Linked DNA regions of Callithrix jacchus. The protein of the gene in region 1 interacts with the protein of each later gene in a pairwise test. Links are inferred from orthologs where the notes say so. Each region holds a gene or a part of one and is shown on either strand. Other genes may lie near its edges.

Region 1 (4,168 bases):
AGTCCTGACATGTGAACAAGGTGGTTGGGGCACAGCTTGCTTTTATATATTTTGGGGAGATGATACATCATCAATACATGCAAGATTTACATGATTGTTTCAGTCTGGAAGGGGAGACAACTCCAACAGGGAGAAGCGGGAACTTTCAGGTCATTGGTACATTTAAATTTTTCTGATTGGCAATTGATTGAAAGAATTATTATTGGCTGGGTGTTGTGGCTCACAACGTATAATCCCAGCACTTTGGGAAGCCAAAGCAGGCGGACTGCTTGAGTCTAGGAGTCTGAGACCAGCCTGGGCAACATGGCAAAACCCGTCTCAACAAACAAACAAACAACTAGTTAGGCATGGTGACATGTGCCTGTAGTCCCAGCTGCTTGAGAGGCTGAGGTGGGAGGTTTGGTTGGGCCTGGGAGGCCGAGGTTGCAGGGAGTTGAGATTGTGCCACTGCACTCCAGCCGGGCTCTCAGGACCAGATCCTGTCTCAAAGAAAAAAAAAAAAAAAGAGTTATCAGTAGAAAGGAAAGTCTGAGTTATGATAAGGGGTAGTAGAGACTGAGGTTTTATCATGCAGATGGAGCCTCCAAGTAGCAGGCTTCCGAGGGAATAGATGATAAATATTTCTTATCATACTTAAGGTCTGTGTTGATGTTAATGAGGCATGTCCAATCCCCTCTTTCATCATGGCCTGAACTAGATATTAAGGTTGAATCTGGAATGCTCTTGGCCAAGAGTAGGGGCCCATACAGATGGCTTTGGGCCTTAGCATTTTATTCTTGGTTTACAAAACCAAGGATGTACAATACATAACAGCGTTTTATCAGTAACTTCAGTCTTTTATTGGAAGGAACAAGAGCTTCCCGCCAGGAGCGGTGGCTCACACCTGTGATCCTAGCACTTTGGGAGGCCAAGGCAGGCGGATCTCCTGAGGTCCGAAGTTTGAGACTAGCCTGACCAACATGGAGAAACCCCACGTCTCTACCAAAAATAAAAAGTTATCCGGGCGTGGTGGTGCATGACTGTAATCCAAGCTACTCGGGAGAATGAGGCCGGAGAATCGCTTTAACTCGGGAAGCGGAGGTTGCCGTGAGTGAAGATCACGCCATTGCACTCCAACCTCGGCAACAAGAGCGAAACTCTGTCTCAAAAAAAAAAAAAAAAAAAAAAAATTCCCAAGCATTTCACTTTTTCGCACATTGGGGCAGGTAACGTCATTTCCTGGTAGGCACAGAAGTTTGAGGCTGAGAATAGGTTAAGATTCATTGTGACCCTTAGAAAGACAAGCCTCCGAACTAATCCAGTAACACCCATCGTCAGGAGTCAGTCCTTCACGGCCGCGGGAGGGCGCAAGGAGCTGCGGCTGGAAGTACTCGGGAGGGCCGGCGGAGGAGGCGCGAGGAGCCCGGAGCTCGCAGAGCGCGCTGGAGGTGGGCGCGGGGCGGTGCCGCGGTGGCCGAGGGAGCCGCGATGGAGGGCGCTCGGGCTGTACGCCAGGTAAGCGGGCCTCGCTGGGGGCGGTTCCCACCCGAGGCTTGACCCGACTTTTTCTCACGGTGATTGCTTGGACCTTCTCAGATTACAGTTAATCCCTCCCTTCCCTGCTCTTCGAGCTCTTTGGAGTAACAGGGAAAGTTGTTACCGAGGGAACGGTTTCCTGTGCTTACGGGAGCCCTTTCCCTCCGGGCGGTGGTGGGAACGTCTGCTTCCCTGTGGGCGCTGAGGGCTTGACTTTGGCCAGAAATGTGCTGATGCGGATGTCTCAGCCTCAGGCCCCCTTGGGTCAGGCTCCATGGTGGTGATTCTGACTCAGTGTTAGTTTCTGCAGCCTCGCCTCCTTCCTTTCATTCTCGGCCCTATTACACAGTGATAGTTTAAATCACTGTGCTGTCAGCCAGGTTTTTGGTTTCAACTAGTCTAGTTTTGTTATTTGTTTACTACCTTATTTGACAAAATGGAAAACTTGCTGGTTAATATTCAGGGTGAAGCTCCGCTTTTGTTGGAGGTGCGCCTGCATTTCTGAACGCCGTCCTCCTTCCACATTGGTTTGTGCGTATATATTTTACTTTTAGAGAAAATGTGGTCAGTGCTATATCTTCTGAAGAGCACTATCATTTACAGATTGGTGGAGGTACACAAATAATTGTTGAATGAACAAATGAGTGTGTTATTTCACTTGATTTGAAAAACATTACTATGAAATAGTCAAGCTTGGATATTCATGAACCCAATCAGTCACTGATTCAACTATGTCTCTGGCACTGGGTGTCCGGGATTAAATGGTAATTAACACAGGCCTGATCCCTGCTCTCAATAAGCTTATTGTCTAGACTAGAGATAATTATTTCCTCTGTTGTAGAGTTAAGGAAACAGATGTACAGAGATTGACTTTGCTAAGGACCACACAGCTGATAAGTTAGAGAGACAGGAATCTATTGTTGCCACCCCAGAAAGCCGGAATGAACCCCCACACTAAATTTGTTCAGGTGTAGAAACTGATGATGCCACACACACACACCATGAGGGTATGAAAAAGCCTTTTACTTACATACTTGAGGTCTCTGGGGAGAGCAAGGCAGGTCTCTCAAGCAGCACCAAAAAGGCTTAAAAGAGCCTCAGGAAAAGACTGGCTCCAGGTCTTTTTTTCTGGGTTAGGGAGTGGGGCCAGGGTGAGAGTTCCTGTATGCAGACAGGAGATTGCTTGAATTTCCCACCCAAGATGAAGGAAGGAACTTCCAGGCTTTCTTTTTTTTCTTTTTTTTTTCTTTTTTTTTTTTTTGAGACGGAGTCTTGTTCTTTCCCCCAGGCTGGAGTGCAGTGGTGCGACCTCGGCTCACCGCAACCTCCGCCTCCTGGGTTTTAAGCTATTCTCCTGCCTCAGCCTTCCAAGTAGTTGGTGCATGCCACCACACCTTGCTAATTTTTTTTGTTTTTGTTTTTGTTTTTTTTTGAGACGGAGTTTCGCTCTTGTCACCCAGGCTGGAGTGCAATGGCATGATCTCGGCTCACCGCAACCTCCGCCTCCTGGGTTCAGGCAATTCTCCTGCCTCAGCCTCCTGAGTAGCTGGGATTACAGGCACACGCCACCATGCCCAGCTAATTTTTTGTGTTTTTAGTAGAGACGGGGTTTCGCCATGTTGACCAGGATGGTCTCGATCTCTTGACTTCGTGATCCACCCGCCTCGGCCTCCCAAAGTGCTGGGATTACAGGCGTGAGCCACCGCACCCGGCCTTTTTTGTATTTTTAATAAAGATTAGGTTTCATCAAGTTGGCCAGGATGGTCTCAATCTCATAACCTTGTGATCCACCCCCGTCAGCCTCCCAAAGTGCTGGGATTACAGGTGTGAGCCACTGAGCACAGCCGCAGGCTTTCTTATCAGCTTGCCCAGATGAGGTCCGGAAGAGGAAGAGGGAGGGGTGAGGCAAATGAAATAGACTGAGATTTGTGATAATTCATCCTTGATGTTTGATTGATGACTGACATGCACCATTTTTCATTTAATTGAATTTGAATTTAAGTAAGCCATTGTGGCCCAGTTCAGTGGCTCATGCCTGTAATTCCAGCACCTTTGGACACCACGGCAGAAGGAAGTATCGCTTGAGGACAGGAATTTGAGGCCAGCCTGGGCAACATAGCAAGACCCCGTATCTACCAAAAAAAAGTTAACCCGGCATGGTTGTGTGGTGCCTGTAGTCCTAGCTATTCAGGAGGCTGAGATAGGAAGATCATTTGAGCACAGCAGCTTGAGACCTCAGTGACCCCTGTTGGTGCCATTGCACTCCAGCCTGGGTGACAGAGATCAAATTATTTTCAGAAAGTTGACCAAGGTGGTAGGCCTTACACTATGTGTATCACAATGGCCCAACCCCTTTCGTGAGCTCCTTTGTATGTCAAAAGACTGTCCTTAGAGGAGGGTGTCATCAGTGGAATGTTAAACCTGTGGTCCTGGAGAAAATTGGATGCAGTTAAGATCTTTCCTGTAGAGATTGGGTATGATGGCAAGACTGTTGAGGTACTCTGTGGGTAGCCAGGTAAAGGGATATTAGGTTTCTCTGGAGGTGAAGACCAACTGTGGCTGAGGAGGTGTTGAAAGAAACACTAAACAGTGGTGGCTCACGCCTATAATCCCAGCACTTTGGGAGGCCAAGGCGGGTGGATCACGAGCTCAA
Region 2 (4,024 bases), on another chromosome or scaffold:
CAGGAGACTTGTCATGGGTGGGGGGATGCCTGCTCAGGATGCGGGCTCTCCCCAGGGGGCCCCAGGCCTGCCTGACCGAAGACATGAAGAACTAGCCTGGAGTGGTCAGGGGCCTCCAGTGGTCAGGGTCCCGTGTGCCCTCTGCCAGTCTTCATTCTGTCCCCATTCAGTCAACCCCATCTCAGTTCAGCAGAAAACCCCCGATCAAATAAACCCACTGCCTGCACTGCATCCTCCTGGCCTTCCTGCGTCTGGGAGCCGCAGCCTGTGTGTGCCCGTTGCATGGGTGGCCACTGTGCACGCGTGCCGTGTGGGTGACCACGTGGGCCTGCGGCACCAGGGCTGAGGTCCTTGTGTGTCCTCTTGTGTCCCTGGTCATACCCCCCAACGCATACTACTCATCAAGGCTGGAGCCCCACAGGGCCCTGCACAGTGTGTGGGTCAGGGCTCCCCATTGTCTTGCCCAGTCCTCATCTGTGTCAGTGATGAATGAGTTCGGGGGGCGGAGGGGGGGAGCCACCTCCTTCCTCACTCCCACTCTTGGCTTCCTGGTGCCGCCCTAGGCCGGTCCTGCCCTTCCTCCCTCACCTGCTCGCACCACTCCCAGTGGCCCCTGCCAGTATCTCTGGCTGCGACCCCAGGCCTGCCCGGGTCTCCGCAGCCTAGTGTCTCTCCTGCATCTGCCCACAGCGCCAGGCCCTCCCCTACCCCAGGCCGGCAACCGTTCTGCCGACCCCTGAAGCCTCTGGGCGGTTCCAGGGTGCGGAGAAAGAGATGGGGTTGGGCCCGGCCGCCACAGCGTGGGGCCTCTGGCTGCACTGGTCGCCGCCATAACTCCGGGCCCGCCTCCCGCTCACCTCCTCCGTCCCTGGCTAGGGTGGACCCTTGATGGGCTGTTGGCGCCCTCAGGGCTGCAGCTCGCCCGGCCCCCGCAGTGCGGGGTCGACCCCCAGCGCCTGCACCCACCGGCTGCCGCTCGCCACGCGGGTTCAGACTTGCCGGGCTTCTGCCACCGCGGGCGGGGCCTGCGGGCTGGGGCGGGGCCGGGGATGGGAAGGGGCGGGGACTGAGGCCTGGGGCGGGACCGGGGACGGGGAAGGGGCGGGGCCTGAGGCCTGGGGCGGGGCCGGGGATGGGAAGGGGCGGGGCCTGCGGCCTGGGCGGGGCCGGGGCGGGGCGTCTCCTCGCAGGCCCCGGGCTGCGCATTCTCCGCGCTGGGAGCCGCCCCGCAGCCGCCGCCGCCGCCGCCGCCGCCCAGGCCCGAACTCCGACGCGTGGTGGGTAAGTGAGTGCGCGGCGCCGGCCGAGCGGGGCGAGGGGGCCGAGGCGGCCGTGGGGGCCGAAGGTCCTGCGCGCCCCAGTACCCGAGGCCCCGCCGCAGGCGCCCGGGGAGCCCGGGAGGCCGCGCCCACCGCCTGCCCAGCTTCCTCGCAGGCCCTTCCGCGGAGGCGGCGGCGGGCGGGTGGGAGAGTCGCCTCCCGGGGCCCCGGACGGGCCTGACGACCCCCTTCGTCCCAGCGGCCCCGGGACGCCCAGCCTGGACGCCCCGCTCATTGTCTCTGGACACGGCCCCCTTCCCTCCGCCCGCGTGCAAGTGGGCGCGCCATTGGCCGCGCCGGGCGGGGTCGGTGACCTCATTGCAGTGCCGGGGACGCCTGGCTGGCGCGGAGTCCGGGGTCCCCCCTGTGGGGGCTCTCCCTGATGGGGCGCGGGCCGCCCGGGGGCCTGGTGCAGTTCCCGGGGACTGGGGGAGGGCCGGAGAGCTATTTCTGGCCGGCCTTGTCCCAGGCGGTTCGCGGGGACCAGGCATTCCTGGGAAGAGCGGCCACTCCTCAGCGGGTCGCCTGCGTCCTGGCGGTGGAGGCTGCATCTGTGCCCAGAACCAGCCTCCCCAGAAGGCTTGGGACCTCACAGCCAGGCCAGGGGCAGGTCCCCCCGGCTCAGTGGCAGGGTCTGCTCCTGCCACTCCTCGTGTATTAGGCCCCAGCTCCGTCACGGAGGGTGACTCTCAGCTCAGTGGTCAGGTCTGGACCCCCCCCAGCTCCATGGTGCCTCTTTCCCAGGCTGTGGCTGCTGCTGTTTGCCGGGGTGGGGAAGGCCAGCGATGGGTCTGGAGGTAAGGCCAGAAATGTCCTCTGCCTTGGGAGGCCAAGGCGGGTGGGTGACCTGAGTTCGAGACCAGCCTGGCCAACGTGGCCAAACGCTGTCTCTACTAAAAATACGAAAAGTAGCTGGCAGAGGTGGCAGGCGCCTGTAATCCCAGCGACTCAGTAGGCTGAGGCAGGAGAACTGCTTGAACCCAGGAGGTGAAGGCTGCAGTGAGCTGAGATCCAGGCATTTCACTCCAGTCTGGGTGATCAGAGCAGAAAAAAACAAAATCACTGGGCGAGGTGGTGGTTCACACCTGTAATCTTAGCACTTTGGGAGGCTGACGTGGGCGGATCACGAGGTCAAGGGATCAAGACCAGATTGGCCAACAGGATGAAACCCCGTCTCTACTGAAAATACAAAAATTAGCCAGGTGTGGTGGCAGGTGCCTGTAATCCCAGCTACTCGAGAGGCTGAGGCAGGAGAATGGCTTGAACCAGGAGGAGGTTGCGGTGAGCCGAGATCGCACCACTGCACTCTAGCTTGGTGACAGAGCGGGACTCCATTTCCTCCCCTTCCCCCACCAAAAAAAAAAAAAAGTAAAAAAGAAAAACAAAGAAATGTCCTCTGCCTTGCCCCACCCTAGCCCAGACCAAAATACCAGGCTTGGCCAGTCCTATTCTGCCTCCAGAATGAACCTCGCGCACTCTGGCCCTTGGGCCAGACCTGCAACCTGTGACCTGACGTGCCCTTGTCCCTCTAGCCTAGACTCCTGGGGAGCTTCTGTCCACCTGTCCTACCGAGGAGTCGTTCCCAGCTGGCTGTGGAGTGCTGGGCAGGGTGGGGCAGAGCAGGCGGGGCAGTTAAAGTCCAGGCTTGGCTGTGCTGTCTGGAAACGCCGCCCGGGGCGCTCAGCTGCTGTCTGCACCCCACCCCTCCGCTTTCTCTGAGTGGCCTCCTCCACCCTCACTGCAGGCCTGTAGACTACCAGCCTGTGACGTGGGCCCCTGGGAATGCTATGGGGGGCGGGCAGACCGGCCTGAGCTCACTGGAGGGACCTGCTAGGGCCTCCTCCCCCGGCTGTCTGCTGGGGTGAGTCAGCAGTGATGGTTGGAGGCCCTACATGACCCCCGTCCTGTCTGGGGTCACCAGGGCTCTATCCTGGCTGTACTGCGTGAGGCTCATGAGTCGCTAGGTAAGTGGCTCACGTCCTGTTCCCGTGGGGGCTCCTTCGCAGGCCTCCCAGGAGAGCGGCTGGCTCCACCCCAGTCCTGGGCTGGCTTGGGCATCTGTGTCCCCTCTTTCTAGCTGTCCTCCTGTCACGGGTCTGGTGTTGTGGCCCTGCTGACCCCTCCTGTGCCTCCCCAGCCCCAGGATGGGAGAGTTCAACGAAAAGGCAACATGTGGCACCGTTTGCCTCAAGTACCTGCTGTTTACCTACAACTGCTGCTTTTGGGTGAGGAGGCGTTGCCCCGTGTCCGTCCCCCGTCCTGCGCCACCCTCAGACCCAGGCAGACTCGGTGACCAGCACCTACTGGCTTGTAGCTGGCCGGCCTGGCCGTCATGGCAGTGGGAATCTGGACGCTGGCCCTCAAGAGTGACTACATCAGCCTGCTGGCCTCCGGCACGTATCTGGCCACAGCCTACATCCTGGTGGTGGCGGGTGCTGTCGTCATGGTGACTGGGGTCCTGGGCTGCTGTGCCACCTTCAAGGAGAGGCGGAACCTGCTGCGCCTGGTCAGCAGGGCGGAGGCCATGGGTCGGGGAGTGCGGATGGGGCCCAAGGGGGCTTTGAACCTGTGCCTTGCTGTGCTCACCTGGCCCAGGTTGGGGTGGGGCACGGTCCTTCCCCACCTGCCGAGTCCTATGGGTCCCCATATTCCTGCTAGATCACCTGAGGGAAGCCACCAGCTCCGAAAGCAAGCCTCAGGGAGCC

What was found. The genes of interacting proteins can lie anywhere in the genome.
Region 2: the proteins of GRAMD1C (region 1) and CD151 interact in binary tests that used the Homo sapiens proteins (3 or more experiments, as listed by UniProt). The link is inferred for Callithrix jacchus from reciprocal best matches to the Homo sapiens genes GRAMD1C and CD151.

What each region holds. Positions count from the first base shown.
Region 1 is NC_133516.1:88,836,829-88,840,996, reverse strand, and holds the start of GRAMD1C (protein Aster-C), read left to right. Parts: upstream 1-1,368; 5' UTR 1,369-1,467; coding exon 1,468-1,494; intron 1,495-4,168. UniProt on the Homo sapiens protein: Cholesterol transporter that mediates non-vesicular transport of cholesterol from the plasma membrane (PM) to the endoplasmic reticulum (ER).
Region 2 is NC_133511.1:131,070,682-131,074,705, reverse strand, and holds the start of CD151 (CD151 antigen), read left to right. Parts: upstream 1-1,224; 5' UTR 1,225-1,281; intron 1,282-3,166; exon of another isoform or gene 3,167-3,283; intron 3,284-3,396; exon of another isoform or gene 3,397-3,456; 5' UTR 3,457-3,463; coding exon 3,464-3,544; intron 3,545-3,633; coding exon 3,634-3,825; intron 3,826-4,024. UniProt on the Homo sapiens protein: Structural component of specialized membrane microdomains known as tetraspanin-enriched microdomains (TERMs), which act as platforms for receptor clustering and signaling.